4 linked regions of the Notamacropus eugenii genome follow. The protein of the gene in region 1 interacts with the protein of each later gene in a pairwise test. Links are inferred from orthologs where the notes say so. Each region holds a gene or a part of one and is shown on either strand. Other genes may lie near its edges. The genes, in order: STK16, ADAMTSL4, MIIP and RPIA.

The links.
Region 2: the proteins of STK16 (region 1) and ADAMTSL4 interact in binary tests that used the Homo sapiens proteins (3 or more experiments, as listed by UniProt). The two-hybrid records come from large-scale screens. The link is inferred for Notamacropus eugenii from reciprocal best matches to the Homo sapiens genes STK16 and ADAMTSL4.
Region 3: the proteins of STK16 (region 1) and MIIP interact in binary tests that used the Homo sapiens proteins (3 or more experiments, as listed by UniProt). The two-hybrid records come from large-scale screens. The link is inferred for Notamacropus eugenii from reciprocal best matches to the Homo sapiens genes STK16 and MIIP.
Region 4: the proteins of STK16 (region 1) and RPIA interact in binary tests that used the Homo sapiens proteins (3 or more experiments, as listed by UniProt). The two-hybrid records come from large-scale screens. The link is inferred for Notamacropus eugenii from reciprocal best matches to the Homo sapiens genes STK16 and RPIA.

The regions. Positions count from the first base shown.
Region 1 is NC_092877.1:317,731,672-317,738,677, reverse strand, and holds the start of STK16 (serine/threonine-protein kinase 16), read right to left. Parts: upstream 3,013-7,006; 5' UTR 2,983-3,012; coding exon of another isoform or gene 2,806-2,982; exon of another isoform or gene 2,717-2,805; intron 2,713-2,716; exon of another isoform or gene 2,619-2,712; 5' UTR 2,550-2,618; coding exon 2,464-2,549; intron 2,040-2,463; coding exon 1,820-2,039; intron 1,512-1,819; coding exon 1,378-1,511; intron 1,185-1,377; coding exon 1,064-1,184; intron 916-1,063; coding exon 820-915; intron 342-819; coding exon 220-341; intron 16-219; coding exon 1-15. Other genes in the region: GLB1L (beta-galactosidase-1-like protein), read left to right, coding at 2,806-2,982, 3,435-3,548, 3,636-3,802, 4,160-4,310, 4,463-4,523, 6,169-6,263, 6,341-6,515, 6,601-6,889 and 1 more. UniProt on the Homo sapiens protein: Membrane-associated protein kinase that phosphorylates on serine and threonine residues. In vitro substrates include DRG1, ENO1 and EIF4EBP1. Also autophosphorylates. May be involved in secretory vesicle trafficking or intracellular signaling.
Region 2 is NC_092873.1:304,419,510-304,427,019, forward strand, and holds the start of ADAMTSL4 (ADAMTS-like protein 4), read left to right. Parts: upstream 1-4,501; 5' UTR 4,502-4,580; coding exon 4,581-4,600; intron 4,601-4,923; coding exon 4,924-4,981; intron 4,982-5,191; coding exon 5,192-5,526; intron 5,527-5,739; coding exon 5,740-6,463; intron 6,464-6,848; coding exon 6,849-6,951; intron 6,952-7,510. UniProt on the Homo sapiens protein: Positive regulation of apoptosis. May facilitate FBN1 microfibril biogenesis.
Region 3 is NC_092876.1:51,471,986-51,478,879, reverse strand, and holds the start of MIIP (migration and invasion-inhibitory protein), read right to left. Parts: upstream 3,009-6,894; 5' UTR 2,781-3,008; coding exon 2,606-2,780; coding exon of another isoform or gene 2,562-2,605; intron 2,473-2,561; exon of another isoform or gene 2,240-2,472; intron 2,074-2,239; exon of another isoform or gene 1,857-2,073; intron 1,513-1,856; coding exon 1,343-1,512; intron 1,196-1,342; coding exon 758-1,195; intron 196-757; coding exon 18-195; intron 1-17.
Region 4 is NC_092872.1:724,333,865-724,341,320, forward strand, and holds the start of RPIA (ribose-5-phosphate isomerase), read right to left. Parts: upstream 3,016-7,456; 5' UTR 2,980-3,015; coding exon 2,647-2,979; intron 1-2,646. UniProt on the Homo sapiens protein: Catalyzes the reversible conversion of ribose-5-phosphate to ribulose 5-phosphate and participates in the first step of the non-oxidative branch of the pentose phosphate pathway.

The sequences.
Region 1 (7,006 bases):
AATGCTGGGGAATGCCTGAGGAGTACAGATGTGGCAAGCTACACACACAACACATACACACACACACGCGCACACACACACACACACACACACACACACACACACACTCTCTCTCTCTCTCTCTCTCTCTCTCTCTCTCTCTCTCTGTCTCCACCCCCTAAGGCATAAGGTCTTCCATGTCATAGAAAGTCCACAGCTTCTGCACCTCCATGTACTCACCTCGGGTTCTGGGGAATGCTCAGCTGGTTCTGTACTGCCAAGGCCACACTATCCCCTTTCTGGAACACCATATCATAGGGACCTTCCCCAAACATCATAGCATACAGCACACAACCTAGGGACTAAGCACACATCTATGATTTCTTAGGAAATAGGACCCAGGGAACTACTGCTCAGCAACCATTTATGAATCATCTACTAGGTACTGGGCCAGACACTGCCAAGTGCTCTGTCCTCCTGCCCCTTGATGTGGGCAAAGGAAACTGCTTAAGCCAAAGTGAGAAGGGCTGCAAGTCATCTCACCATGGCAGCAGGGATCTAATTCAGCTCTGCTGCCCTTTGGGTTTAGAATCTTCCCTGGCTGTGGAGGACAGATGGCGCTTTGGCTGAACACCTCCAGGCCTACATACTCCTGCTCAGAGACCCTGGCTATACCACTTCCTGTGCACTGCCACCAGTTTATAGAAAGGAAGTGGAGGAAAAGACCAGCATGACAGGTTTCCTGGGGCCCCAAACTGTAGAAAGTAAGGCAAATGTTCCCCATTTTTCCCTTGAGTCATTCCAAAGTAGATAGAAGCCTCTAATTCCCTGTAGGCTCACCCAAATGTCAGTTCGTTCATCAATGACACAATGGCTCTGTACAGAGAAGAGCTCAGGGGCACGATATGAGATGGTACAACGTTGGGCTGCCCAGTCCTGGAAAAAATGATCCCAGGAGGTAGGAGTGGGTTAAGGGTCATACTACCACCATGTTCAAAAGGAACATGTTAGATCCTGAGGAGTGTAGCCTGACTTGCAGCGCTAGTTCCACCCCACCCCATCTCCATCGATAAACAGAATTCACCTGCAGGGCTAGTGCCTGTCTAGAGCCTTCCACTCGAATTCGTGCCTGATTCACTGAACCCAAGTCCATTAACACTGGCTGCCCATCATCTCCAAGCAAAATATTGGTTGGTTTCAGGTCCCTGTAAGAAAGGAAGTAGGACTGATGGCCCCCTGTTGAGTGTTACTGGAATCATATGTACTCAAGAAGCACAGGCAGGCTTCTGGCTAAGAAAGCAGAAAAAAAAAGGTCTTTGGCCTATCTCGTGATAAATATTCATTTTATCCCTCCTCTCACACCTTTCCCCAGCAGGCATATGATACCTTCCCACTGACCTGTGGGCATAACCCTTGGCATGAATGGCCTCTAGGCCTCTGCAAATGCCTGACAGCAGCAGCAGGATCTGATCCTCTGACAGGAAGTTGCCTTTGTCTTTCAGCCTTTCCACTTCATTCCATAGTGTACCCTTCTGCAAAACACAAGTCTCTTCCAATTCCCACCGTGACTGGCTACGTGTTCCTTCTCATTTGAAGGGGCTCCCCATTTACCAGGCTCGGGTTCTGACTTCTGCCAAAGGTGATGAGGGTCTTCAATATGAAAACCCAAAACGCCAAACACATTCACTCAGTAACCATAAGTGCCTATGGGCAAAGCCCCAAAACACAAATCCTGATTCCATCAATTCACATGTTTCCTTTCTCATAGTGTCCTTCCTTAAAACTTTCAGAGTCCCCAGAGAACCATGTTACCCAGTCCCCAACTAGGAGCCAGTCTCACCTTGAAGAAGGGTAGCAGCAGCCAGGCCTCCTGCTTGGAGCCCCGTTCTGTCAAGCAATAGGCTTCAAGGCGAAGGATATTGGGGTGCTGGAAGAGTCGGTGCATGTCAGCTTCTCTCTGGGCCTCTTCCTGGTCCTGTTGCTCATGGCACAGGATTCTCTTCAGGGCATAAAAGTGCCCATCGTGCAGTCCCTCCACCAGGTCCACGTAGCTGAACCCACTTAGAATCAAAGGTCCATGGACACATTATACAATACCCATGTGGGGAGAGGTTCCCTAGGGTATATTTCCCCCCAGAGCAGAGACCTCCCTAGGTGGGGGCTCCAGAAGTTCTGAAGGCAAGACCAAGCCCTCCCAGTAGGCAAGGGGAGTCTGTGCTGGCCAGACCGGGTAAGGCTTTCCCAACGGGTTCTGGATCCTACATTCTAGGACTGGACTGATGAACTTAGAACAGCCAGAGGTGGTTCAAATTCCATCTCTGACACCATCTATGGAACCCTGGTCAAGTCACCTGATCTCCTTGGGCTTAGGTTTAGTCCTCTGGAAAATGCGGAGCCGGAGGAGACGGCGGGGGTCTCCGACAGATATGGGAGCCTACGTTGTCTGCCCGGCCTGGGGGTGGAAGGTGAGCAGGCCGCACTTACCCCTCTCCCAGTTTCTGTATGAAGAGGTATCTCTTGTTGTCGATAGTGAGGGTCCCTCGGGAGCAGATACACAGCGTGTGGCCCATGGTGCCTCAGTCATCCTCAGGGCAGGGGCGGACGCTGCCCACCAACAGGGGCAGGGACGGTCCGAGGGGCTGCGAAGGGATCACGGGACAAGGGGGCTGAGGCCGGGCCCCGAGGCCCCCGGAGGCTCCCGTCCTTCCGTCCCCCGGCCTCCCGGGGGGCCCCAGGGCGCCCCGCGATCGGTGGGGGAGGCGGGGAGGAGGGCCGGTGCCTCTCCGCCCAGCAGGGGCTGCAGCCAGCGATCGAGGGAGGAGGGGGATGGGGCCCCTCCCTGCCCCCGTCTCTGGGCCCTCCCCACCCCGGGGGACGAGTTCCCGCGGCCCTCAGCCCCAGGGATGGCCGCCCGGGAGCCCGAGCTGCTGCGAACCTGGCCGAGGCGCGCGAGCGGCGACAGCGACCGGAAGCGGCGGCGTGTCGTCATCTCTCGGCGCCGCGGTAACGGCCCCCCCCCCCCCCCCCCCCCGCATCCTGGCAACCGCGCGGCCCCGGGACCGCGGAGCCCCTGGAACCCCAGAGCCCGGGTTCGGGCGGCCCGGCTCCGGGTGCTGGTGCCTCAGGCCTTAGCCTACCACGCCCTTGGCAGCCCCCCCCATGCCGGAGGTAGGGATCGGGGGCCGCAGGGCTGGGCTCCAGCCTCCCCCTCCGCTCCAGGCCCTTGGAGCGCCTTCTCCTCCTTCCGGGGGTCGGGCCCGGGCTCCTCCCGCCGCCCTCCCTCGGCCCCCTCCCCGAGGCGCCTTCATCCCTTGCTCCAGGCACCCATTCATCCCCCTTCCAGTACGGGCGGCCTACTCGGCCTTCGGGTTGCGTGGGCTTGGGTTTTGCTACAGGCGGGGCTCGAGGTCTCCCGCTCGGGGCCCGCCCCCCCAGCCGCTCTTGCTCCCGCCCAGGAGCGGGGCCGCGAGAGGTGGCCGAAGGCCTTCCTGGAGCTCGGAAGCCAGGGCCGCGCCATGGGCCCCGGGCGGCAGCTCTGGCTCCTCTTCCTGCTCCACCTGCTGACCCAGGTGAGCCCGCGCGGGCCGCGGAGCTGGGGGAGGAGCGGCCCGGCGCACGACCCCCCCGTGCTCCCCAGCTCTCTCCTGCCCCCCCAGGCAGCGCCCCGATCCTTCGTGGTGGATCGGGAGCGGGGCGTGTTCCTGCTGGACGGGGCCCCGTTCCGCTACGTGTCGGGCAGCCTGCATTACTCCCGGGTCCCCAGCCAGCTTTGGTCCGACCGGCTCCACAAGATGCGCATGAGCGGCCTCAACGCGGTGCAGGTGTAAGGGGCTCCCCGAACCCTGATCCTTGAGACCCCCTCTTCGGGGCCTGGGCAGGACAGAGGCGAGCAGCATGCATGCGGGAGATGGCTGCGGACCGTGGGGTAGGGGACGACGACAGGCGGTGGCAGAAAGGCTCCTAGGATTGCAGCTTTGTGAAGGCCATCCAGGCATCCACAGAGGGGAATCTGGGGCTCGCAATGCTTAAGAGTCTTGTCCCAATGGTAGTGACAGGAGAAAAAGAATGGTAGAATGTCCTCACCCCCTGAGGCTCCCTGGCTCCTGGGGGTAGGGCTTATTACCTGGAACCTCCCTGGGCCCCTTCCCACTGTGGGGCCCCTTAACCCCTTTCTCCCCAGTTATGTGCCTTGGAACTATCACGAGCCACAGCCTGGAGTCTACAACTTCCACGGCAATCGGGATCTGCTGGCTTTTCTGAAGGCAGCATCCAGTGAGGACTTGTTGGTGATTCTGAGGCCTGGACCCTACATTTGTGCAGAGTGGGAAATGGTGAGTGGGAGAAGGGGCGGGACAAAGATCATTCATGTCATTTCTCACCGACCAACCCAGCCCATTCCTTTCCACCCTCACTCATCAGCTCTTCTTTTACTGTTTACTTCCATTTGTATCTATTTCTATATTTGTCTCTATGTCCTCCTCAGGGTGGTCTCCCATCCTGGCTGCTTCGAAAACCTGACATTGTCCTTCGAACCTCAGATCCAGGTGAGTTTGGGTACTAAAGGTCAGAGTTAAAACATATAGAAGACCAGAAGTTTGGCTGGTCAGGCACTACAAAATCAGAAGGAGACGGCAAAAGTTTGCTAAGTCATTAGGACATCCCAGATACTTTGAAATGGGCCTGGTTAGCAGGTCCTAACCTGCACATTTCAACCAGTAAGAAAGCCTTTTTGGCATTTAGCCTCATGTAGTTGGGTTGCTACCTAAAGGAAATTGGCTTTGATCCAGCTGCTCCAGATAGCATGAGGCAGGGAACCTCGATGTAGGGAGGCCTTTCCCATCACGTTTCCTGCCACCTTACATGGTGGTTCAGAACCTGTGTCAGTTGCTCTTATCAAGTCATTCAGCAGGGCAGGAAATAAGGTTCCTTCCTATGGAGAATTCCTTAGGAAGTTTCCTTGACTAAGGTCATATTCAAGTACTACAGAATGTATTGAAAAGGGGACAAAAGGAAGAATGAGGACAAAAGGGTTGAAAAGTACTGCCCTGAGCTGATACTCAGACCTCGTCCTTAGAGTCATCCAGAAGTGGGTCAGTGGATCTTGGGGAAAATCTCCATCACTTCAAGGCCTTCAAGGCCAGGCTTGGGCAATCACTTGTTACAGATATTATCAAGAGTTTTATGATTCATGGGAGGGGAGGGGGGGGAACGAGAACAGATTAGATAACTCAGTTCTCTTCTAACCATAAAATTCCATGCTTTAGAGCTAAAGGAAAATTTCCTAGGAAACTCAAAGATACTACATTCAAATAATATAGATGGTATTATGATTTTATGATTTTAAGTCTTCAAACAGTTCCTTATTGTTCATAGGGGAGAGAAATCTGTCTCTTCACACTTTAGTGGCATTAATAGTTCCTTTTTTTAAAGTTCCTCTTTGAAGCTCAGAATCTCTGGGTTAGTGACTGTCTCCTTGAATTAATATTCCTTTATGGTGGCACTTTAAGCACCTCCTTAGGTAGTATTCTGTCCATTTCAATCCAGTCCAACAAGTATTTAAAGGCACAATGCTAGCATTGGTAACAGACAAAACGTAGTCTCTGACTTCCAAGATGCAAATCATTAAGCATATATATGCTAAGTAGAGCAGGTTTTATAATGCTTACACAGAATGGCTCTGGTGCCAAAGGCCATCAGCTCAATATCTTGTCTGTCCTATCTGACTCTGTACAGGATGCATTGGTTGGTCTTTAGGGAAGAAGAAAGGAACTCCCTCCTGTTGAATGGCATCAGTGTTGGTGGCATGCCACCCTTGCCACCTTCTCTGTGTTTCTGGGTTTTGTCTGCTCTTCTCTCTTCTTTTACTCTTCCATTTCCTTCCTGTTTTCCTCAGTTGGAGCCTTATGCCTGTACTGATAACAAGGGCATGGCTTTACCTCCTTCTTGTAGCACTCCAAGGTGCTAAACTTCCAGGCTTCCTGTGTCAGAGTCTCAGTGAGCTGTAAGGTGGGTCCCTGCTTGGTTCTGAGTTTTTAGTGATTCCCACATTCCTTGGTAGGAGAGTTGGAAGAGACCTTTGCCCAAGGTGAAGCATGCTCTGGGTCTGTGACCATCTCTGTTCCAGGAGAGCTGAAGGCTGACTGGGGAGAAAGGTCATGGTGGAGCTCAGGCAGACTTCTTTCCTTCTAGACTTCCTTGCTGCAGTGGACTCTTGGTTCCATGTCTTGCTGCCCATGGTGCAGCCCTGGCTCTACCACAATGGAGGCAACATCATCAGTGTCCAGGTGCAGAGGCAAAGGTGTCTGGGAGGGTAGGGAAAAAGGTCTTTCAGTGTAAACTTACTGTCCCATCTCTCTGACAGGTGGAAAATGAATATGGCAGCTATTATGCCTGTGACTACAGATATATGAGACACCTGGCTGGGTTATTCCGGGCACTGCTGGGGGATGAGATCTTCCTATTTACCACAGATGGGCCTCAAGGGCTCAGCTGTGGCACCCTACAGGGACTCTATTCCACTGTGGACTTTGGCCCAGGTTACCTCAGGAGTGGGTATGGGTAGGGTCTGGGGAAGATGCCCTCCGACCTGTGACATCATGTACCCCTTCATTCCTACTGCAGCCGACAACATGACTGAGATCTTTGCCATGCAACGGAAATATGAGCCCCATGGGCCCCTGGTGAGGGGGGCGGGGAAGGGGAGCCAGAAGACAATGCCCATGAGAGAGGGCTTCGATTGGTTCCCTTTTCCTTTCTCCCTCATCTTTTCTCTTCATCTAAATCTCCAGGTGAACTCAGAGTACTATACGGGCTGGCTGGACTACTGGGGTGGCAGTCATTCGACAAAGGATGTAAAATCTGTGACCAGTGCACTACAGGACATTCTGGAGTTGGGGGCAAATGTGAACATGTAAGTGGGCTGTGGAAGAGGGTTAGGGATGGTTAACTGAGCTTCCAAATGCAGATAACTTAGGCAAGTCACACCATGTTCCACCCCTGCCCTTCCCTGTCTCAGGTACATGTTTCA
Region 2 (7,510 bases), on another chromosome or scaffold:
GCATTTACTAAGGCCTGCCATGTGCAAATAAGTCTCTATGTCAATCAAAGCTCCAGTTGATATCTCTCTAGGCAGAGAGCACTGTGCTGAGGTCAGGAAAGGAAGGAAGGAAACAAGCATTTATTAAGAATGTATGTGCTAGGGACTGAGTTAAACACTGTACAATAGCATCTCATTTAATCTTTACAACAACCCTGGGAGTTATTGTCCCAGTTTTCCAACTGAGGAAACTGAGGCAGGCAAAGGTTAAGTGATTTATCCAGGGTCAAATTTGTATCTGAGGTCAAATTTGAACTCAGGTCTTCCCGACTCTAGACTCAGAATTTTATTTACTGAACCACCTAGCTCCCTACTGGGGAAGCTGAGACTGGTAGATTGTTTGAGCTCTGGAGTTCTGAACTGCAAATGGGCTCAAGTTGATTGGGTGTCTGCACTATTGGTAGGCCCCTGGTAACAGAATGCCACCATGCTTCCTTAAAGAGGGTGAAGCAATATAGGCTGGAAGCAGAGCAGATCAAGCCTTCCATCCCCATCAGCAGAGCCCTCCCTCACTTAAATCCAATTCACTTGCAAGTCAGGATATCACCTTCCTGATTTCATGGTCCTCTTCTAGAACAAAGGACAAACAATGAAATAGGACCAGGGGTAGGGAGACCTGGAATCTCTCCCCAAAAAATTAGGTAAAATTTTAATGGATAATCAATGGAAGGAGACATTTCACGTGAACGAAAAGGTGTTGCGCTGGACCTGAGACAGTAAATTTTAAAAGTAGTTCAATTTGGCAGGGCTGTAACACACAATGAATACTAGAACAGTGGCATCCTGCTAGAGATACAAAATATCCAATCAGTCAAACATTTAAATATAATAATATATTCTGATGTGGCTTTACAGGTTTCAAAGCATTTCTGCAAAGCATCTCAACAGAGATGTTGGGTTTTATGGAATTTATCTGGGATTATGGAATCACAGATTTAGAAGCAGAAGGGAGCTGAGAGGCCGGAGAGTTCGACCCCTTTATTTTACAGAAGAAAACTGATGAGCACGGCGTGGGGCGATAGTGGGAGTGGGGAGAGACAAAGTACAGAAGAGGCATCCGAGAGGAATGGAGCGGGGCAGGGGAAGGGAATGAGAAGGAAGGAGAGAAAGGGGGGAGAACAGGAGGAGGGAAGAAGAAAGGAAGGGGAGAAGAGGGGAGGGAAGAGAAGTAGGAGGGAGCGCGCAAAAGGAAGGAAAGGGCAGTTTCAGGTGCTAGTGGGAGTGGAGAGATACTAAATATAGAGGAGGAAGAGGAGTGGGGAGGAGGAGAGGAGAGGGTCCCCAGCCCTCACAGCGCTCACAGTTTTGACCACCCAACTCAGCATCCCTCCACAAGCCTCCTCCCCATCTTCCCCACGCACACGCGGATGGGAGAGACACCAGGGCCCCAGGCTCCAGTCCAGGTGCGGCAGCTGTCCACTCCCCCCGCGTTTCCCGACGGGGCCTCCCCCAGCCTGGCCAGCCGCCCTCCTGGAGTCTTTGCCTGGATAGCCCCAAGCAGCAGAAGAAGGGAGGGATGGGCAGCCGGTGCTGCACCTAAGGGGAGGCGGGGACCTGAGGCCCGTCCCGTCTATCCTTAAAAAGGAAGTTGGGGCGGGTCCCACCATTCCAGACATTGGCGAGGCGCCTCAGAGCATCGCCCTTTTCAGAGCCGTCCGAGGGTCCTGACCACCTGGCCGGACTGCCCCGCCCACGCTCTGTCCAGTCCAGAGGACCCCAGGTTGGCGGTGAGGGTCGGAGTCCCTGCCCAGGCACCCGGGGCGTCCCAGCTGGGGCCGGCTGGCTGGAGCAGCCGAGCAGGGATCTGGTGGGACGGGAGCCCACGCGGGAGGGACGGACGGACAGACGGAGGGAGGAGCGAGGGAGGAGCCTCGGACGGGGGCGGAGCCCGAGCTGGAGGCGCCAGTGACCGGGAGCCCGGCTCAGGGGCCGGGCCGGAGCGGCCGGAGAGGAGTGGAACGGAGCTCGGACGGGGAGCCGGAGAGCGGAGGGGCCACGAGCCGCGCGCAGGTAGGACCCCCGCTGCCCGGCCCGCTCCCCCGGAATCCCGTTAGATCGCTTTCCTGGAGCGCCCCGCCCCCGAGTATCCTCGCTCCTAACCGAACTCTGTTGGGGACCCCCCCAAACTTTCTCCGGCAAAGGGAGCCCACCTCTCCCCATCCATGATCAGATTCAGCGTCCCCACCCCAATACATGCACAGCGCCCCTTCTCTCCATCTTCACTCCAGTCAGGACAGTTCTGTTTCCCCCAACGCTGGCTTCCCAGGTCCGACTTGGAATTCTGTCTCTGAGGAACTGACGGGGGGTGGGGGGGAAAGGAATGCAGGTGGCTGGCAATCCTTTTTTTTTTTGCCTCAGACCCCTAAGGGTGGGAGATAGGGGTGGCATCCTGGATAACAGTTCAGACTCCAACATAAAGGGAAAAGGGAGCAAAAGGGGAAGGGTATTCAAGAAAATTGGACATTAAAGTGCACCCCACCCCCCATCAACACATTTTCCATCCCAACATCTCCAAAAAACCCTAGGAGGAAGTACAAGGGTGAAAGGGCTATTCCTCTTCTAGTTTCTGGTTTGCTCTTTGATCTCCACTAGACTGGGGAGGGGGTGTGGCCATAAACAGGTCAGTTCGGGATGGTCAGATAGCAGTGCCCATTCTGTAATCAGGGAAACTTCTAATGACCTCTGCTAACCCCCAGGTTGGGCAGAAAGGTACCAAGTGATTAGAGAGGCCAGAACTGAGGGGAGTACAGACTGCCTCTATATCTGTCTCTGTCTCTCCCTGCAAGGGGGGAGAAGGTATCGGCCCCCTGCCCAGCTGTGTTGGGGAGGGTGGGGCCGGGGACTTTTCCAGAGAGGGAGCCAGGCCTGGCCCAAGCCCCAGGAGCTCACGTCACCCCCACCCCTCTGGCCCCCACTTCTCTTGGGAACAGCCAGAGCCAAATCGAGCTAGGAATGGGATTATGTGTACTAAGTAGAGACCTGGGGAGCCATAGGCATAGACCTGGGGTGGCAGGGATATAGATCTGGGGGAGAGATAGAGAAATGGCCAGCAGACCATTCCTCCTCCAACTGGAAGTTAGTTTGGTTATCATCTCTTTTCTGCTTCAAGGTAAGGGCTTTTATCTCTTCCCTAAGTGAGCAAAGGGTTAGGAGCAGACAAGTAGACATTTATGTGAAAGTATGAAACCCTCTCTCATCCACCCTGCCTGGAACCCCACCATGGCCCCCTGCCCCATAGGCGTTGTTGCTGACCTCAGCAGGGCCAACCCAAACCCTGGGGAAGGGAGGAAGGGGCTGCCAGGCCCAGGCAGAGATGACCCCAGCCAGTTCTGATCTGACCAGTCATTTCCCTCCCCCACATTTTCAAGTCAATGGGTAATTGCAGGGAGGAACAGTAAAGATGAGCACAGATCCTTTTTATGCACCTCCATCCAAAATCTGTCTCTTTCATTCTTTCCCTAACCCCATGGTTGGCCCAGTTCTGTTTTGGTCCCTTGGACTCCTCTCCCGGGTGCTTCTTAGCTCCAACAGAAACAACTTTTTTTTTCCTGGAAAGCAGAACAGAGAACAGGGGAGGGGGCCCAGGGCTCAGAGTCTAGGCAAAGGAGGGAGGTAGGGAGCAAGAAAGAGGAGTAGCAAATCCACAGCTTCACCAGGGCTTGGAGTTGAAAGCTCTTGTTGGTCTACATAGGATCAGAACTAGATTTTAAGTAGGACTTCCTTACTTTCCAAAAAAGGGGGAGCCAAAGGCTCTTTGCTGCTTAGGATTTCTCATTGCAACACCTAGCACATTATCTTAGTTGGGCAAATTGATGAGTGACTGAGCTAAGACAGGGGCTTCTTCTGGATTGCTTGGGCCAGTGGTTCACATCCAGCTACAGAATTGTGCTACTGCTATTTAAACCATCAGCCAGTTTACTTGATTTACAGTTTGAACTGGAGGCAAGAAAAAGACAAGAGATTTCTAATCTTTGGACCTGTAGTCCAAAGGAAAAGCTGAACCAAAGGATATGAAAGTAGGAGACCTCCTGAGAAGAGAGAACCCAGTGGTATGTACCCTCTCTTGGTACCTGCTGAGGTGGGTATGTAGAATGTGCCCTGGAAGCAAGAGGACTCCTGACGGATGGAGCTTGGTACTTGAGCCGGGATAGAAATACCAGAAACCAGAGATTAGGAAAGGGAGATTAATTAGGGTATTGAGGGATTTGGTAGGGGGCAGTGAGGAGAAGGTAAAAGGGATGACTGGGAAAACCAGAGCATTGGGACCCTCAGCTTTCCAAGGGAAAGAAAGAAGACAGCAATCCTGGTCTCTCAAAATAGGGACAGAGAAGAGGAGGAGGTATTAGGTAGTGTTATGTCCTAACTTCTGTCCTTAACCTTGAACATTTTTATTGAGGGGACATAACCCCTTCAGGTGTCTAGAGAAGAGTCAGGGTAACCTTTATTCCTGCCTTTCTTTCAGGTCTTTCTTCACATCCTAAGCCCTCTAGATTTCTGAGTAGTGTGTTATCTCCAGAGGACTGGGGAGATTAGGGAGAACGATGGAGAAATGGGGAAGCAGGTAAGAGGTGAAAATGGGAAGGGGTAGTGGGATCTATCCCTGGGAGGTACAGGAGAAGAAAGCAGAAAGATGGCAAGGGTGGAAGAATGGGTAAGTAACCCCTTCTATTTTCTGACAAGCTGTGAGACCAGATGTAGGGGGCCAGGCTTTGTACCAGCTGTTCCAGAAATCTTAGTGCCATTTTAAGCTTTCATAAAGCTAAAGTTGCAATAGATATGAAAGCTTACAACTGTACTAAGACTTCTGGGACAGCCTGTATAAGAACGATTGTGACCTCAATTCTAGCTATTAACTTTGATTACTGACTGCCTCTGGCTCCTCAGACTAAGACCGCCTCTTATGCTGCTCCTGCTCCTTCCTCAACTCAGCCTAGACCAGAAGGTCAGTGAAGAGGTTGGAAGGTTTTGCCTGCTCACCAACCTTCTAGAACCCTGTCTCCCCAAGAATTTCCTAGAGCCCTTTGCTCACCCCATGTCTCCCTCCTCATCTAATTCCCCAGGCCCTTCCCTATTTGATGCCCCAGTCATTCCCCCCATTCCCATGCAGGTTACTCCAATCCCTCCTTGATTTGTCTCTTTTTCTCCCAAATAGATATCCCCTCGCCACTCACGACAAGCACATCCTGAAGAAAGTAAAATCCCTGAGGGTGTCTGGGGTTCATGGGGTCCATGGTCCCCTTGCTCCCAGCCCTGTGGGCTTGGGATACAACGCCGGAGTCGAATCTGCCAGTCACCTACATCTTTACTCCAAACCGGGTTGCCTCTACCACCCAGGCCACCTCGACATCCGGAACCCTTGACTGCTCGATCCCGGAACGCCAGACCCCAAACCCCTAGGGAGACCCTCCCTCTCTACAAGCCGGAGCCAAGGGGGAGAAGTGGCCCTCTAGAACAAGAGGAGGCTAGAGAGACCTCAGCCTTAAGGAGGTAAGGGAAATGAGGTGGGAATTGAAGGTGATATATCTCAGCAGGTAGATAAGATTGTGAATGGAATAGGTGAGCCTTAGAACAAGAGGAAACTAGAAACTGGGATAGGAAATGAAGTTGATTACAGGAGTGAGGAACAGAAGAGATTCAAAATGTTAGTTATATGGGAGAAGTAAGCAGAACCATAACTCTGTAACTATAACAATTTCCTAGGTCACGTGTTCGAGATCCTATCAAGCCAGGAATGTTTGGCTATGGGAGAGTTCCCTTTGCTCTTCCCCTACATCGGAACCGGAGGCACCCACATGGACAGCCCAAAACGGAATTCCCCAGTGATGAGGCTCCTCAGACTCTATTTCCAGAGGCAGAACTCCTCCAAGACTCTAAAACAGAGGATTTCCGAGCTCTGACTGTCAAAACAGAACCGCCTGTTAATACTCAGCTCCCCCAAACCCAGATCTCTTCTACAGTACTGCCCCCCCAGGAAGACCTTTACAGTCCCCAGAATCTTGGGACAGAAACACCTCCTAATACCAAGTTTCTAGAGTCGCAGATACCCCCAAAGACAACCAACTTCAAAGCAAAGTCCACCCCCACCCCATCCCCCAGAACAGGCAATTCCCTTAATCAGGTCCACCCACAGAGATCACATCATTCCCAGCAAATGGGACCAGAATGGAGAAGATCCCCCCATCCCTCCTCCTCTGCCCCCCGGGGCCAGGGCCGAGGCCAAGGTCATCAGAGAAGGAGAGAGCAGTGGGCACCCAGAAATGCCCATCAACAGGCTGTTGAAACTCCCCCTCACCATTCAGAGAGTTGGCTGCCTTTACTCAGCTCTGGCTCCAACTCAGGTCCCCTCTGGAGCCTTTTTGCCCCCAGTGCCTCTGCCCTGAACTGTCCTGGAGAGAAGGAGCAACTGAGAGCCTGTATCCAGAAGGTGAGCTCTGCCTTGATCCTGGATCATCTAGGCTTCTAGATGTTCCTAATTTGCATAGAAACCAAAGCTGTGCTCCAATAATTTGGGGGAAACTGTTCTGGAAAAGAGTGAGGGATCTAAATTGGGATCTAAGGTCCCAATTTATCTTATCTAGTCCTGAGGATAGATAACCCTCATGTCTGAGCCCTAGCTCCCTCCTTTGTAGGCCTCCATTTTCTCCCTGGGTTATCATCTCCTAGATCTTTGTCGGGAGGCCAAAGGGCATACTCTCCTAGTTTCTGATTCCTTCTTTCCCCTCTGCAAATCACTCCATCCCAATCCTCAACTGCTACCCTCCTATTGTTTTTTTTCTTAGCCCTGACAATTCTGTTTCCCCCAACTTCAGCCTTGCCCCCCTGAACAGCCAGATCCACGGGCCCTGCAGTGTGCCGCCTTTGATCCTCAGGAATTTATGGGCCGACTCTACCAGTGGGAGCCCTTCACAGAGGGTGAGAACTGAAACCCAGGACCCCAAGACTAGGGAGGCTACACGTTGGCCCCTTTCTAGCCCTGAAAATCTTCCATTTGTGCATTATTTTCCTAACTGTATCTCCTGCCTCAGTTATCCCCTCTTTTCTTTAGTTTCTCTCTTTGAGGCATTATATGCCCATGTGGGAGAGTCCCCTTCCCTACAGGACAGGGAAAGGGGATATATTTTCCCTGAATTCCTTAATTTCCGCCTTTCCCTCCCCATCAGGCAGTCTGTGCTGTTTACTTAGCCTGAGTGGCTGGGCGAGCGAGGGGGCAGGAGGGGAGGTGGGGTATATATAGATGGCTCTTTGTGCTTCAGAGGTCTCTGCCAGTACCTAGGAGGGAAAGAGGGAGGGGATGTGTGTGTGCGTGTGTGTGCCTTGTGTGTTTTAGGGGAAACTAGGTCTGTATGATGCCTGATCTTCTCAAAAAAGCAAAGCAACTAGAAAACGATGGAATCATGCTGAGGGAAACTAGCCCCCTACAACTGAATGGTTTTCACTGTCCCCTCTGGCGAGGTCAGCTGTATCCAGAGGT
Region 3 (6,894 bases), on another chromosome or scaffold:
AGTATATCCCGACTCACCGGCAATCACATCATAACCTAAATAAGGTTTCATATGCCAGCTCTCATCAGGAATCAGAAAATTCTTCTTCTGCAGCCAGTAGGGCAACTGTTCCCCACACAGAATTGAAGACGCAGGCGGCCAGTGTGGCTGCAGGCTAGTGGATCGAGAACCCAACCAGGGAGGTACCTGAGAGGCCTGAGAGGACAGGGCCACCTGTCACAACTCCTGCCTTATGGCACACTTTCCCTGCGTTCCTCTGCCAGACTACAAGCACCCAGAGGGCAGGGACCATGGATGATCCAGACGTATAGGACCCCCAATGCCTGGCACAGAATGAGCACTCAGCAAATGTCCACAGGGAGATGCCCCTCTGGATTATCACCCCAAGGATGAACAGGCCACGGGACTGCGTAGTCCATACCTTCCCCTGGACAGACAAAAGGCAGGGTGGGGAGGTCTTGGATGCCAGAGGAGCCCAAGCTAATTGTGACAGCTGCTGGAGGATGCCAGAGTGCATCAGGATGGCCTCACCCACTTCCTGCAGGCTTCCAAAGCCAGGATGAGCAGGCCAAGGGCCCACAAGTGCATGTGCTGTGAGGACAGGGGAGGCTCAAGCAGCTCGGGAGAGAGGAGAAAGGGCATTCTGGGACAGGAGAAGAGCCTGCAGGGAGGAACAGAACCGGCCTCCTTCTCTCTCAGGGCCCATTACTGGATGGTGGCTGCTGTCCCACCTTGGTCCACCTCCCATTTCTCTTACCTCGAAGTTGTTCCACTGCTGAGTAGTCAGGATGGACCTTAGGCTTCCCACGCCTTCTGCTTCATAGAACGGCCTCTGGACACCAGAGATCAGGGGATCAATGGTGGGCCCCAAGTCCAAGGCCTTGGGAGAAGACAGCAAGCTTGCTGAAGTGGGTCTGGAACCAGGTCTGCGGCAGTCCTTGAGTTCCTGACCCCAGGGCTGGCTGGATGGAGGGGCCTTGGGGGGACTCACACTCTGCACAGTCTCAATGTTACACAGGCTGCTCTGGGGGGCTGGCTCCTGGCTCCTGCTCTTTTGTTCTTGCTCCAAGGCATCTCTGTCCCCAGAGGCAGTGCCAGGCACTGGGCAGGGGCCCGACTGGCTGCGGTGTTCAGTCAACACCGTAGTCTCTTCATCTCGACAGCACCAGGACTCTAGTGACAAGGGGCTGCTCCCCTAGCAGAGGAGGGAATTCTGCTCCAGTCTCCATGCACCCCCCCATTTCTCTCCCCTTCTTTCTTCTCCAGGACTCCAGCCCAAAAAACAGTTAAGGAGCCTGTTACAGGTCAAACACTGGGACAAGTCCCAGGAGTAAGCACCTACCTCATCATTCTTGAGCTTTGGGAACTGCTGGACTGACCCCTTGGCCCAGGCCACAGATTTCCGGATCTCCTCTTGTCCCACCCGAAGCTGCCGGAGGAGCTCTAGGTTCATTTTCCGAAGCTGGGTCAAGTTCTCAGACTCTGGCATCTTGAATGTGCTGTCTGGAATTTCTGCAAAAGAAGCCAGGGGACTGGGGTATTGTCTAACCCAGGAAGATAGAAAAATGGAATGAAGGTTCAGAGGGGACACTACCACTAACCCACCAAAGAACCCTGGTCAGCACCCTTTCCATCCACTCAGGTCACCTCCATACAACCAAGGCAGCAGGTGACCATGGTCCCTAAGTTGGGAATTATTATCAAGCAAGTCCCTTTCATTATGCAAACTGCAGGCTTTAGAATCCGAGACAGCCAAACCCTTCATTTTACAAATTTGGAAACTCAGGTACAGAGATGTTTAAATGGTGGATATAAATAAGGGCACAGGTTATAGGCGGAAGAGCCAGGATTTTAACCTGGGTCCTCTGACTCCAAATTATGCTTTCTCCTCACCGCACTGTAAGAATTATAAGCTAATTATTCCCACAACACCGATAGAATGCAGGTAACCCGGCAGGACGCTCTGGGGAAAGGGAGATACATTGTTACTTCTCTATTTCCAGCCCTCTACCTCCCATCTCCAGCCCTCAGACCCCAGCCCAGAGAGGAGGATCATTTCAAAGCCCCCCCAGCCCCACTCGTGGATTCTGCCAATTATTCCCTGCGTGACCTTCTAGGCTAAGGCACTACTTCAGCTCTCCGGGCCTCGGTTTCCTCATTAGGTGGTGTCTACAGACCGGGGATCCCCCCAGCCCTTTCAGGGGTCCTCTACCCTCCCCCTCCCCCGGCCCACGCGGACCAAGGCTGGAGCGGAGTGGCCCTGCGAGGCCTCGACTACTAGGCTGCCTCGTGGGTGGGAGGTTGGGGGCCTCCCTTCGCCCCCTCTCCCCCCACAGTCCAGCTCAGGCTCCAGGGCCGCCCCTGCAAGGCCCTGGATGGGCGGTGTTTTTTTTTAAGCAAGCCTCAGTTTCCTCGTCAGTGAAATGAGGCCCCCCAGGCCAACCGCAGCGCCAGAACGTGGGCAGGAGTCACGTGGAAGCCGAGGGGAGGGAGGGGCCGGCGGGGAACCCCCAACCCCGGGGGGCGGGGGCGCACGTGGCCTGGGGGTGCGCGCCACTCACCGACCCGCGGGGGAATGGGGCAGCCCCGGAAGTCATCCACATACCGGCTCCCATCCCGCCGGCCCTTCCTGGCCCTGGACAAGGCCATCCCCCGCCCCCCCTCCGACCCGCGGACCCCGGGCCCCTCTTTCCGCGGACAAACGGGGGCAGCCGCCAGCTCCTGAGAAGGACGCCGCGGGGCGGGGCCCAGGGGCGGGGCGCGCGACCTCGGCGTCCCATTGGCCGGGCGCGAGACCGGGAGGGAGGGGGCGGGGCTTCCGGCACAGCGGCGGGGCGGGGAACAACAACACACACCCGCGGAAACGCCCCGGGACGTCCGGAGGCGGAAGCGGCGAGGGCGGCCGGGCCCACCCCCACCTCCCGGGCACGGGGGAAGGCTGGGGTTGCCCTCCAGGAAGGCCAGCCAAACCCGACTCCCCCACTTGGAGAAACTGAGGCCCGGGGGAGAGGGGGGCGGGAAGCACGTAACAAGCAGCGAAGCCGGCCCCGACCCCCCCCCACACCCCTCCCCGCCCCCAGCTCCTTCCACGCCCGGCAGCCCCGTACCAAGTGTCCCCCGCTAGCCTGGAGGCGCCTGGAGACCAGAGGCCACGTGCTCTACGCTGGCTGCAAAGGGCTCCTTCCGGCACACGGTAGGCCTCAGTTAACTGATCCCGGGGCGGGTGACGTCACAGTCGATGTCACGTGACGAGCCCCTCCTCGGCTCCGAGTCCCTTCCCAGTCTAGGGCTGGCCTGGAAACCCCTGACAACGCGGGGGCGGTGCTGGGCCCGTCATCACAAAGCCTTTATGCAGCGCTGCCCGGGCAGCGCCCTCCTCCTCCCGCCCTGCCCGTGGTCTGCGCGGGCACGGAGGGGAGGGGCAGAGCGCCCGGAGCCCCGCGACGTTTAAACGTCTGAGCCGGGCCGGGCCCCACGCCGACGGCTACATGCGTGGGGCGCCACCCTGCCGTCCTCCGCCGTATACAGGCGTGTGTCTGTGCACCCCGCTGCATACCCACGTGTGTGCCCGGGCAGCGAGGTGGGGCGGTGGGGGAGCCCCGGGCCTCAGCCGCTCACTAGCAGTGTGACCTTGGGCAAGTCACTTACGCTCTGCCGCAGTTTCTTCAGCTGTAGAACAGGGGTGATAATAATAGCCTCCACCTCCCAAGGTTATTTTGATGACCAAAGAAGATAATATTTGTGGAATATGCGCCTGGCACATAGTAGGTGCTGCGTACATGTTAGCTAGGATGAGGATGCAAGTTAAGCCATTTGGTGACTGCTCACCACAACTGATGAAGGGGGCTCATCATTCAGCACCCCTACTTCTCAGGTAAAGGGAGTGTATTCCAAAATCAGCCATCAGAGACGAAACAGTGGTTAGTGAATAGATAGAGGGAGATCTGCCTGGGTTCAAGTCTGGTCTTTAACCAGTGCCCCTAGACAAAACAAAAGAAAAAAACAACTCTGAGTCTCAGCAATAGTACCTGCAGACCTCACAGGGATATTTCAGGGATTCAGTGAAATCATGTCTGTGTATTGGCTGGGTAACATCTAGAAGGTCCCTGTAAATAAGACATACTCAATTACATTCAATAAACATTTTCTTGTTAAGCACTTGCTTTATATGTGACCCTGGGTTCTGGTTCTCAGGATACAAACAGTTCCTGCCTTTGGAAAGCAGGCTTTCATTCCACTATGATGGAATGCTGGCGCATGACTTAGCAACTCCCTTGAATTGACTTCAAAACAAAATTGAGTTACCTCAAGCCTAGAATTCTACACTTAGAAAAAGGAAAATTTCAGAGAAGGTGCATATGCCTGAATCCAGCATGAATTCCACATACCAGATCTTAGAAAGAAGGAAGGTCCTATGTTGATAGAATTCACAGCACAGTGCAAATTTGTACAAGTTTAGCGATTACATGGTACTGAACAGTATAGCATATTAATTGCATCTCATTGCATCTGATCTGAGTTCTATGGTTTTAATTTATTTTAGTTTAATTTAATTTATTGTTATTTTCATTCATATTATTATAGCCAGACAGCTAGGTGGTACCTGGGATAGAGAGCCCTGGGTCTCATTAGGGAGACCTGAATTCAAATCCAGCCTCATATATTTTATTAGCTATTTGACCTAGAGCGAAATCGCTTAACCTCAGTCTCCGTTTTCTCATCTGGAAAAAAGGGAATAAAATTTTTGTTGTCAAGATCAAATGAGATAATATTTGTAAAGTGCTCTTATTCTTAGTTGTGTATACTGTTCTCCTGGTTTTACTCTTCATCTTCATCAGTGCGTGCAAATCTTCCCACATTTTTCTTAATCCTGCATTTGTCATTCCAATATGGCATCCTAATCTTCCCAACCTACATGAACTTTAATTTGTTTGCTCCCCAAGAAGTGCTGTTCGAGACACTCTTGACACTAATGAAGTATCAAGGAAAATTTATTACAGCAGAATTCAGAGGAATTGAGTACTTTGGCCAAAGGGGACCCTTAACCTCTTTTTGGAAGAAGGGAGCACTGAATGCTGAAGCAAGATGAGTTATATACTGTTAGTTCAAGATAGATCCTCTCACCAGGAGATGGATTGGTCCATTCTACATTAGGTCCCCATCTTCTCTACATGCCTGCTATGTAACCAGCCTTGGTGTGTGATCCCCCGTCCCAAACATGCTTCAACATAGGACCTATGATCAGAAAATGGAGGGATAATTTTATGGGGGGTATGTCTGCTTATATGCATGAGGTTCATTAAGCAAGCGCAGTGAAGAAAAGCCTTTTCCAAGTAACTCTAGGTCATTTTCTTGGCTAGTTCCACGTAGCTGTAGATTTGGTTACTTTATCAAGAACTTTGTAATTTTCTGAAGACCACTGTCTGTCTTTTGATTGGTTGAGTCTGTTGGTCTTCTTATTATCTGACTTATTTTCAATGACTTCATCAGCTAGTAACTTCTGTGGAAACAACTTTTTGCTGTGTCTCACGGCACCTTGATTTCTGATTTTTTTGTTACTACCAAAACTACTATGATGAATGTTTCGGTACGCGTGGGACCTTTTTGTCTTTGACCTCCTTTGAGGGGGAGGGGATAGGTGGGTCACAAAAGTCACTTTTCTGACATAATTCCGGATTGGTTTCCAGAACAACTGGACAATTCACAACTCTTACCATTCTGGTCCATTGGATACCTCAGGTGTTCTTATTCTCTATCAGTTAGCAGTGACTTGGAGCACTTGTTGAAGTTTTACTTCTTTGGAACTGTTTATACCCTTCAACTACTTATCTAGTATATTCTAGTTTCCTCTGTAGTCTTAGAAGTTTGAGTCAATCCCTATATGTCATAAATACCAGACTTTTATCAGAGATGCTTAATGCTGATTTTCCCTCCACCAATTCCTAACACCTCTTCTTATCTCGTCCAAGAGTCCTTAATCATTTTGTCCTATGGACCCCTGTACCAACATGGTGAAGCCTTTAGGCTCCTCAGAATGGATTTAAATGCATAAAATAAAATACATAGGACTATAAAGGACACCAATATTGAAAAATAGTTATCAAGATTAAAAAAAAGTTCATGGACACCAAGTGAAGGAATCCTATTTTAGGGATATGCACTGATACAGTTGTGCAATTGCTTTAATATATTTTATGTAATAAAAATTGTTTCTTTTATTTGTTATAATCAATTCTCCACAAAGAACTTTCTAATGTGCCATCTTGGCGTGGAGGTGATCCTGAGTTCTTAAAGACCAAGCCAGCATGGGCTCAAGCCCTGGCAAGTTCTACTGAGCTGGAAAGTATTTGAATGTGACTTTAGCCACAGATTTTCTGCTTTCGGAAGGCCAGTCAGTGAACAAAAATTTATTAACTGCTTACTCTGTGCCAGGCAATGTGCTAAGCGCTGCAGACACAAAAAAAGGCAAAAAGTCTCTATGCCCTCAAGGGTGTCACAGTCTAATGGGGGAAACAACAAGCCGACAAATATAGACAAACAAGATAAATAGGAAATAATTACAAGAGGGAAGGGCATTAAAACCGAGAGGGGCTGGGAAAGGCTTTCTTTAGAAGATGGAATTTTCATTGGGACTTGAAAGAAGTCAAGGAAGCCAGTAGACAGAGAGTACTGGAGGCATAGGAATACACAGAGAAAAATGCACAGAGATAAGAGAAGGACTTGACAGGAGAGGTCATTTCACTGGATCAAAGCACATGTATAGGGGAGTAAGGTGTAAGAACACTGGAAATGTAGGAAGGGGTCTGCAATAGGCTTTCAGTGGCAAACAGAGGTGATCCTGGAGGGGAGAGGGAGACACTGGAGTTTATCTGGGAAGGTGGGGCAGGTGACAAG
Region 4 (7,456 bases), on another chromosome or scaffold:
GAAAAAGTCAATGGAAAATGCCCTTTAATCGGGCAGTGATATGCAGCTCTTGGACGGTCAGCCCTGCTACCAATACCAATCTGGTATGGGCCTTGTGAGTGGGCAATGGGTTAAGCCCAGAGCTCAACAGGAGGAGAAAGGGATGGACTGCTGCTGTTCTCTCAATGACCCCAAGTTTCTCCCTGAAACAAAGACCTATCTTTTTTCCACAGAAACAGTCTTCTGGTGATGCTGTATTTTACAATAAGCCATGGAAATCTACATTCTCCTAAGAACACAAGCTGAGGAGCACTCACGGAACAATGGGCCATAGAACTGTCCAAGAGAAGAAGCCAAAGTTGTTCTCCAAGACCTGAAAGGTCAGGATGGGGCTGGTCATGTAGTGAACCTAAGGGATAACCCATGAACGGCCCACACGCTCCACTGAAATTCATATAAAGTCAAATGAATGAATGAAATACATTAAATGTTTACCAAGGGCAAAGGCTATCAGGGGCAGGGTCCAAGCAGAAGAACTCAATGAAGATAGTGAGGAGAACAATAAGGAAGATGTCCAGGGGCTCCTCTTCCAAAGATGACATTGTAATCACTGCATGGAGCCCCTGAACGGCTCAGAACCATCTAAATAAGATCTTGAGTAAGTACTTTGGCACTTGGAGTGGGAGTGGGCTCCCAACACAGATAACAGGGCGCAAAGGTTAGGCGGAACGAATGAATTTCAACCTGTATCACTAAAGTGTAGAAAAAAGCCTGGAGAATACCTTGTTACAACTTGTGTGTGCTGAGGGTCTCAGTTTCCTCATCTATAAATGGTAGAGGTGGGGGGAGGATTAGAGATGATCTCAAGGCTTTCAACTAAATTTATGTTCAACTACTTCCTCCTCCTCCCCCATGATAAATGCATATACAGATAATAATGGTGGGTCTAACTGTAAGGGGCAGCTAGGTGGGACAGTACATAGAACGCTAGGTATGGAGCAGGAAGCCTCATCTTTGTGAGTTCAAATCTGGCCTCAGGCACTTCCTAGCTGTGAGACCCTGAGCAAGTCACTTACTTGCTGTTTGTCTCAGTTTCCTCATCTGGAAAACGAGCTGGAGAAGGAAATGGCAAACCACTCGGGTATCTTTGCCAAGAAAACCTCAGAAGGGGTCACAGAGAGTTGGACGCGATTTTAAACAACTGATCAACAAATGATTTTAAACTTTCCCACAAAGATCTCCAAGAGATCCTTTTTGATTTGAGGGAGCCCCTAGTAGAGTGCCCTTGCCCACTGGTGGTAGTTAAGTACCCGATGAACACATACAGGAATTTCAAAGGGAAGTGGGACTGAACAGCTTGAACATCTCATAAAAGGAAGCAGGGTGGGAGCCAGTCAGAACGGCCAAGCCCAACGTCCCCTCCCAGTAAGTCCCCCTGGAGCCCGGTGGCAGTGATGGGCAGAAGGCCGGACAGGGGTCCAGGAGCCTGCTGGGGAGGGGAGGTTTCTGTCGCCCCAAAAGAGCTAGACCTCGCTACCGACTCTGCCAACGCGGGCGCGCACACGATCAGAACTTCACCCCACAGGAATCTGCTTTAAGATGCAGGATAGACTAAAAGGGGAGGGGGCTCCGAGTCTGGGTCCTCTTCTGCTCTGAATACACCCCAGCACCCCCCGGGTACTCCAGGACAGCACTGGCCACGCAAGGACCCCCGACCCGGCGAGGCGCGAGGTCCTGCCCGCACATTCACCACCTTCCGAAGGCGGAGGCGCAGAAATGGGGTGCCTGCCAGGGTGCCAGGGCACCGGGCAGGACCAAGCCCGGGAACTCCCACGGGGCAGGGATATTCTCCTTCCAGGAGGGATAATGGACATAATTAACTTGATCGGTTGTAAATTAACTCAAGGAAATGGGCTCCGCCCAACTTTTTTCCCCAAACAGTTCTCGGGAGCCGGCTCACATCTTTATAAACAGGCATTTTCGGGGCTGAGGCGGGGGAAGAAAAACCAGGACTTCGGCAGACCCCGGCCCACTGCGGGCCAAGGTCGGCCCGCCCCCTGCCCCCCGCCCCCCGCCCCCCGCGGCCTCCTTGCCTCACCCCGCCCAAGTCTGTAAGCAGGCTACAGGTTCCCTCGGACCCGGGCCGGAACCAGGCCGAGGAACAGGACCGAGCGGCACCTGGAGCTGGGGGGATCTGCCCCGCCTCACCTCCCAACACGCTCCCGGACCCCCAAACCCCCGGGGTCCAGTGTGCGGATGAGGAAGCCGCCCAGGCCGGGGCCCGCCACATGGCCCGCTCCGCCCCCGCCTCGTGGGTCCCCCGAGTCACTGGGGGGGCTTCCCCGCCCGCCCCGCCCTGCTCCCCTCCAAATCCAACTTTCCGGGGGGCCGCCTCTGGCCCCCTCCATCCCACCAGTGGCGGGCACGCTGGGGCGCCTGCCCTCGAGGGGCTTCCATTCTAGGACCGGAGGCTGCCGGGCACAAGAGACCCTCCCCGCTCGCCTTTTACAGATTGGGAAACTGAGACTGGGAGCGGGGTTCCCGGAGCCTGGGCGCGCCAGGGGCGGGATTCGAACTCGTCTCCCAGCGGCGCTCTCCACGGCGCGGCCCCGGGTGGAACCTGGAGGGCTTCCCGGAGGAGGCTGACCCGGGGCGGGGGGCACTCACCTTCACGTGGTTTTCCACGGCCGCGCGGCCGGCCTGACGCTTGGCTTCCTCGGTCTTGGACATGGTCCGGGCGGCGAGTGAGGGAAGGAGCGGGGGCGCGGGAGCGAGCGCGGGAGCGGGAGCGAGCGGAGCGCGCGCCGGGGCCGCGGCCGAGGCCACTAAGTGTCCGCTGCCCCCGCCCGAGGGCTGGCGCTGGGGCGGCGGCACGTGCGGCTCTCCCGCGCGCCAGCTCCCCCCGCCCCCGGACGAGGCCCCGCCCCCGGCCCCGGCCCGCCCGGGCAGTGGGGCCAGGACCCGCCCGTAGAGCGTGCTGAAGGGCCCCGGGCGCTGCATCCCTGCCTCCGCCGGCCCAGCCGCGCCTGCCTCGGCTCGCCCCGCCCCGGACCGCCCCGGAAATCGGGCCCGCTCAGGAGGGAGGGCGCCGCGCGAGCCGGCGCCGCTGGGAAATGTAGTTCGGGAGAGGGGCAGACCCCCGCAACTGTCCGGGAGCTCGGACTACCAGCCCCAGAAGGCAGCGCGCCTACGGCCTCACGGCTGTCCGGGGCACGCCCCGGCTTATCCTATCCTGGTCTGAGAACACCTGCTCACGTGCTTGAGCCCCGAGGCGGCCTTGGAACCAGAGGCGGTGCGCACAAGCACGCGCCGGTTGTACAGGTGCAGCTAAATGACTCGTCCGAGGTCACCACGCCGAGGGGGGCGGCAGGTGCATTTGAACCAAGGTCTTTGATCCAGCCGCCAGTGCCCCCCTATGAAATGGGGGGCCCCCAAGGACAAGCCTCCTTTGGCGTGCGTGCCCTCGGTGGAAAGAGCGCTGGCCTGGACCCCAGCCCTCGACGCTCACCCTGAGACAGTCGTAAAGGCTTAGCTCCGAGTGTGAAGATGGGGGGATAGCGCCTCCCTCTCGGGGTTGTTGCCAGGATTAAACGAGATCACATTGGTACGTGGCTTCGCAGACCTTGGAAGTGCTTTGGTTATCCAAGCGGGCAACCCCCCGAGGTTACTTTTGAAGAAATTAAATAATAATCGCCAACAGAGCACCGAATAAATGAGCGGAGGGAAGAGCCTTTGTTAAGTGCCAGGCCCCAGGCATGGGGCCCAGGCCACAGACACCAGAGCGCTAAGACCTCGCGACTTCGCCTTCCACGTGGAGAAGAGCGCACGTGGGTGATGGTGGGGGGCTGGGGCCTGCGGGAAGGTCGTGGAATTCATCAGCCTGGGGATGGGGCAGTGGAGGCGATTGAGGGAGGGAAGGAGCTACAGGCACCTTCTCATCGGATTAAACGTTACACCTTTTATATAGATAACCCCCTCCCACAGGGACTTCCATCTCCCACCCCTTTTTGAAAGGATGACCCATGGTCCTCAGTCCCTTCATCTGTCAAGAGAGGCGTGGGAAGCATGGTAAAAGCGCAATAAATCTTCCCAAAGATTAAGTGAAATAATATTCATAAAGTGCTTCACAAACTTTAAAGCTAGCTGCCTTATTACTATTAAATTAACAGGGAGGGGGGAACCCAAGGGACCTGCAGGTCAGGCAGTATGTAACTCCATGACGTCAGCAGTCACACAGCTGCCACATTCTAGAGTGCTGAGATCTGGTACATGTGATAACTGCCCAAACTGGTGGAAAGGGATTGGAATGCTAATGGCCTGGAGAAGGAGCTTTCTTTTTTCTTTTATTTTTTTCCACATTCATTTTTTATTAGATTTTGAGTTCCAAATTTTTTTCCCTCCTTTCCATTGCTTCTCCAAGTAATCTGATATAGGTCATATGTGTGCAATCGTGTTAAACATATTTCTACATTAGTCATGTGAAGAGAAAAACAGAACAAAAAGGGGGAAAAAAACAACAAAAAATTAAAAATAGTATGTTTTGATCGGTATCCAGACTCCACAGTTCTTTCTCTGGATGTGGATATGTGGATAGCTTTTTTCTTCATGAGTCTTTTAGAACTGTCTTGGAAGAACTAAGTCTGTCAAACTCGGTCATCACACATTACTGTGTATAATGTTTTCTATGTTCTACTCACTTCACTCAGCATCAGTTCATTCGAGTCTTTCTAGGTTTTTCTGAAATCTGCCTGCTCATCGTTTCTTATGGATCAATAGTATTCCATTCTATTCGTATACCACAGCTTGTTCAGGCTTTCTGCAGTTGATTTCCAGTTCTTTCCTGGACACCACAAAAAGAGCTGCTATCAATATTTTTGTACATGCAAACCCTTTGCCCTTTTTTATCATCTCTTTAGGATTACAGACCTAGTAGTTGTGTTGCTGGATCAAAGGGTAGGCACAGTTTTATAGCCCTTTGGGCATAGTTCCAAATTGCTCTCTAGAATAGTTAAATCAATATACAACTTCTAAATCATGAGGAGTTTTCAAAAAGGGGTCAAAGATGAAATCTGCAAACTATATGGTCCGGGCAACTTGACTTATATTCCTGACAAAAATCTAAAACACATTTTAAAAGGTTTATTCTATATCTTTTTTTAAAAAATCACTTTTATTTCTTCAGCTCTGTTCAGCAGTTTGTGCCAAGCCAATGGATATTGAATTCTGGGAATGAATAACCCATGGCTGTTTGTCAAACTGGATGGAGTGCCAAATCTAGAATCAGGAAGACCTGAGTTCAAATCCAGCCTCAAACCCACTACTTGTGTGGACAAGTCACTTAACCCTGTTTGCCTCAATTTCCATGTCTGTAAAATCAACTGGAGAAGGAAATGGCAAACCACTCCAATATCTTTGCCAAGAAAACCCCAAGTGGGGTCTTGGAGAGCCGGACACAACTGAAATGACTCAGCAGCAACAACAAATCCATGGTTGAAGGCTGGCAGGGCAAGATCTTTGATAGAAAAGTGGGACAAGAAGACAGTGTAGACATTAATTGGATCCCAAAGGGGTCAAGATAAGAAAAGGAGGAGAATGTAGCTAATGAAGGGGTGATGGCTTGAGAAAAAAATGAGAAGTAAAGGGATTGGAGATTGTTATGAGGAATACTGTTAAGGGTTACAAGGCAGAAGGAGAAGTAGAATGATGTTAAATTATGATCAGATGAGGGAATTCAAGAGATCATGAACTTGGAAATTAAACACTTACAGGAGATGATCAGATCAAGAGTTTAACTGTGTAGTTGAGATGGGGTGGAGAACTTTTGTTGTTGTTCAGTCATTTCAGTCGTGTCTGACTCTCTTTGACTCCATTTTGGGTTTTCTTAATAAAGATACTGAAGTGGTTTGCCATTTCTTTCTCCAACTAATTTTCCAGATGAGGGAACTGAGGCAAATAGGGTTAAGTGACTTGCCCAGGGTCATACTGCTAGCAAAGTCTCTGAAACCAGATTGGAATTCAGATCTTCCTGATTTCAGGTCTGGCACTGTATTCACTGCACCATCTAGCTGCCCTGAAGTTTAGAGGCCTAGGGTTCAAATCTTAGTTCTGCTACCTCCTGTTTTTTGGGGTTTTTTTTTAATTGATAAAGTCATTTAAGTTCTATGGGCCTTGGTTTACTCCTTTATAGAACAAAGCGTTGGACACAATTGTCTCTAATTCCTAAGCTCCTTTGTCCCCCAATATCTTCTCTGCCCCATCATGAGCCCTCATGCTACTGTGATGTTTAAAAAGTTCGAGACATGGTTCCTGGGTAATTAGTCATTTTATTAATAATGCTAGCATTTTGTTAATAAAAGGATTGGTCGCTTGACTGTCTATCTCAGACTGAAGATGAATCATGGTGGTGGGCTCACAGTTTACATGCCCTTGGAAGAGTGGGTATTCTTGAGGGTGTCAATCAACTCTGATTGATTGACAATTAATGGAGAAAATTAATATTACAATGAGAGGTAGACCTAATGAGGGGCTGGGGTGGGGGATGTAATTGATTACATCATTTACTTCTCAATTGCCCAGCCTAGGGAATTTAATCAAAGAATTTATCCCCACCCAAAACTGTGTAGAGTAAATGGGCTTGATTAAATTCTTTGTAAGGTTGGGTGGGGTCCGAAGAACCAAGAGGAGAAAGTTAATTCAGTATCATTATCAGCAGTGACCTTCAGAGATTTAACAACCTACAGAGTTCTGAAAAAATCCTGGTCCTAAATCAATAATTGGTTATATGAGGGAGAAATAATCATTTATCTCACTGCTTGGTACTCAGATAGGGAAGGACTAACTGGAGCTTAATTCCTGGCCATGACAGGGGACAGGGGGAAAGAGGAGAAAAGGATCTCCAGCTCTTGGGGAATCAGATCTAACCACCTGTCTGTGGGTGTATAAGATGAAGACTGACCATGGTACCAAGATATATTGTCCAATTTGATGCTGACTGTGGATACTAGAAGATAAATAAAATGGGTGATTCCATGGAACTGGGTATATGCTCAGGCCCTGCAGGGATGAACCTGCTCCTTGACTTCTTGCTGAGTGAAATGCAAGGCCTTCACTTTGCTGAGACAATGCAGCAACTTGTATTGGTCCCCACAATCGTAGAACTGTATAATGGAGTCTAGATGGCGAAGTGGACAGAACACTGGACATGGAGTCAGGAAAGCTTGAGTTCAAATTTGGTCTCAGATGCTTCCTAGCCATGTGACCCTGGGCAAGTCACTTAACTCTGCCTCAGTTACCTCAGCTATAAAATTGGGGGGTTGAGGGGTGATAATAGTAGCTCCTACCTCACAGCATTTTGGTGAAGACCCATTGAGATGATATTTGTAAAGTCCTTAGCACAATGCTTGGCACAAAGTAAGTGCTTAATAAGGCACCTGTTCTAGGAGATTGTGTCCAAGGGGATTGGCCACCAAGTATCATG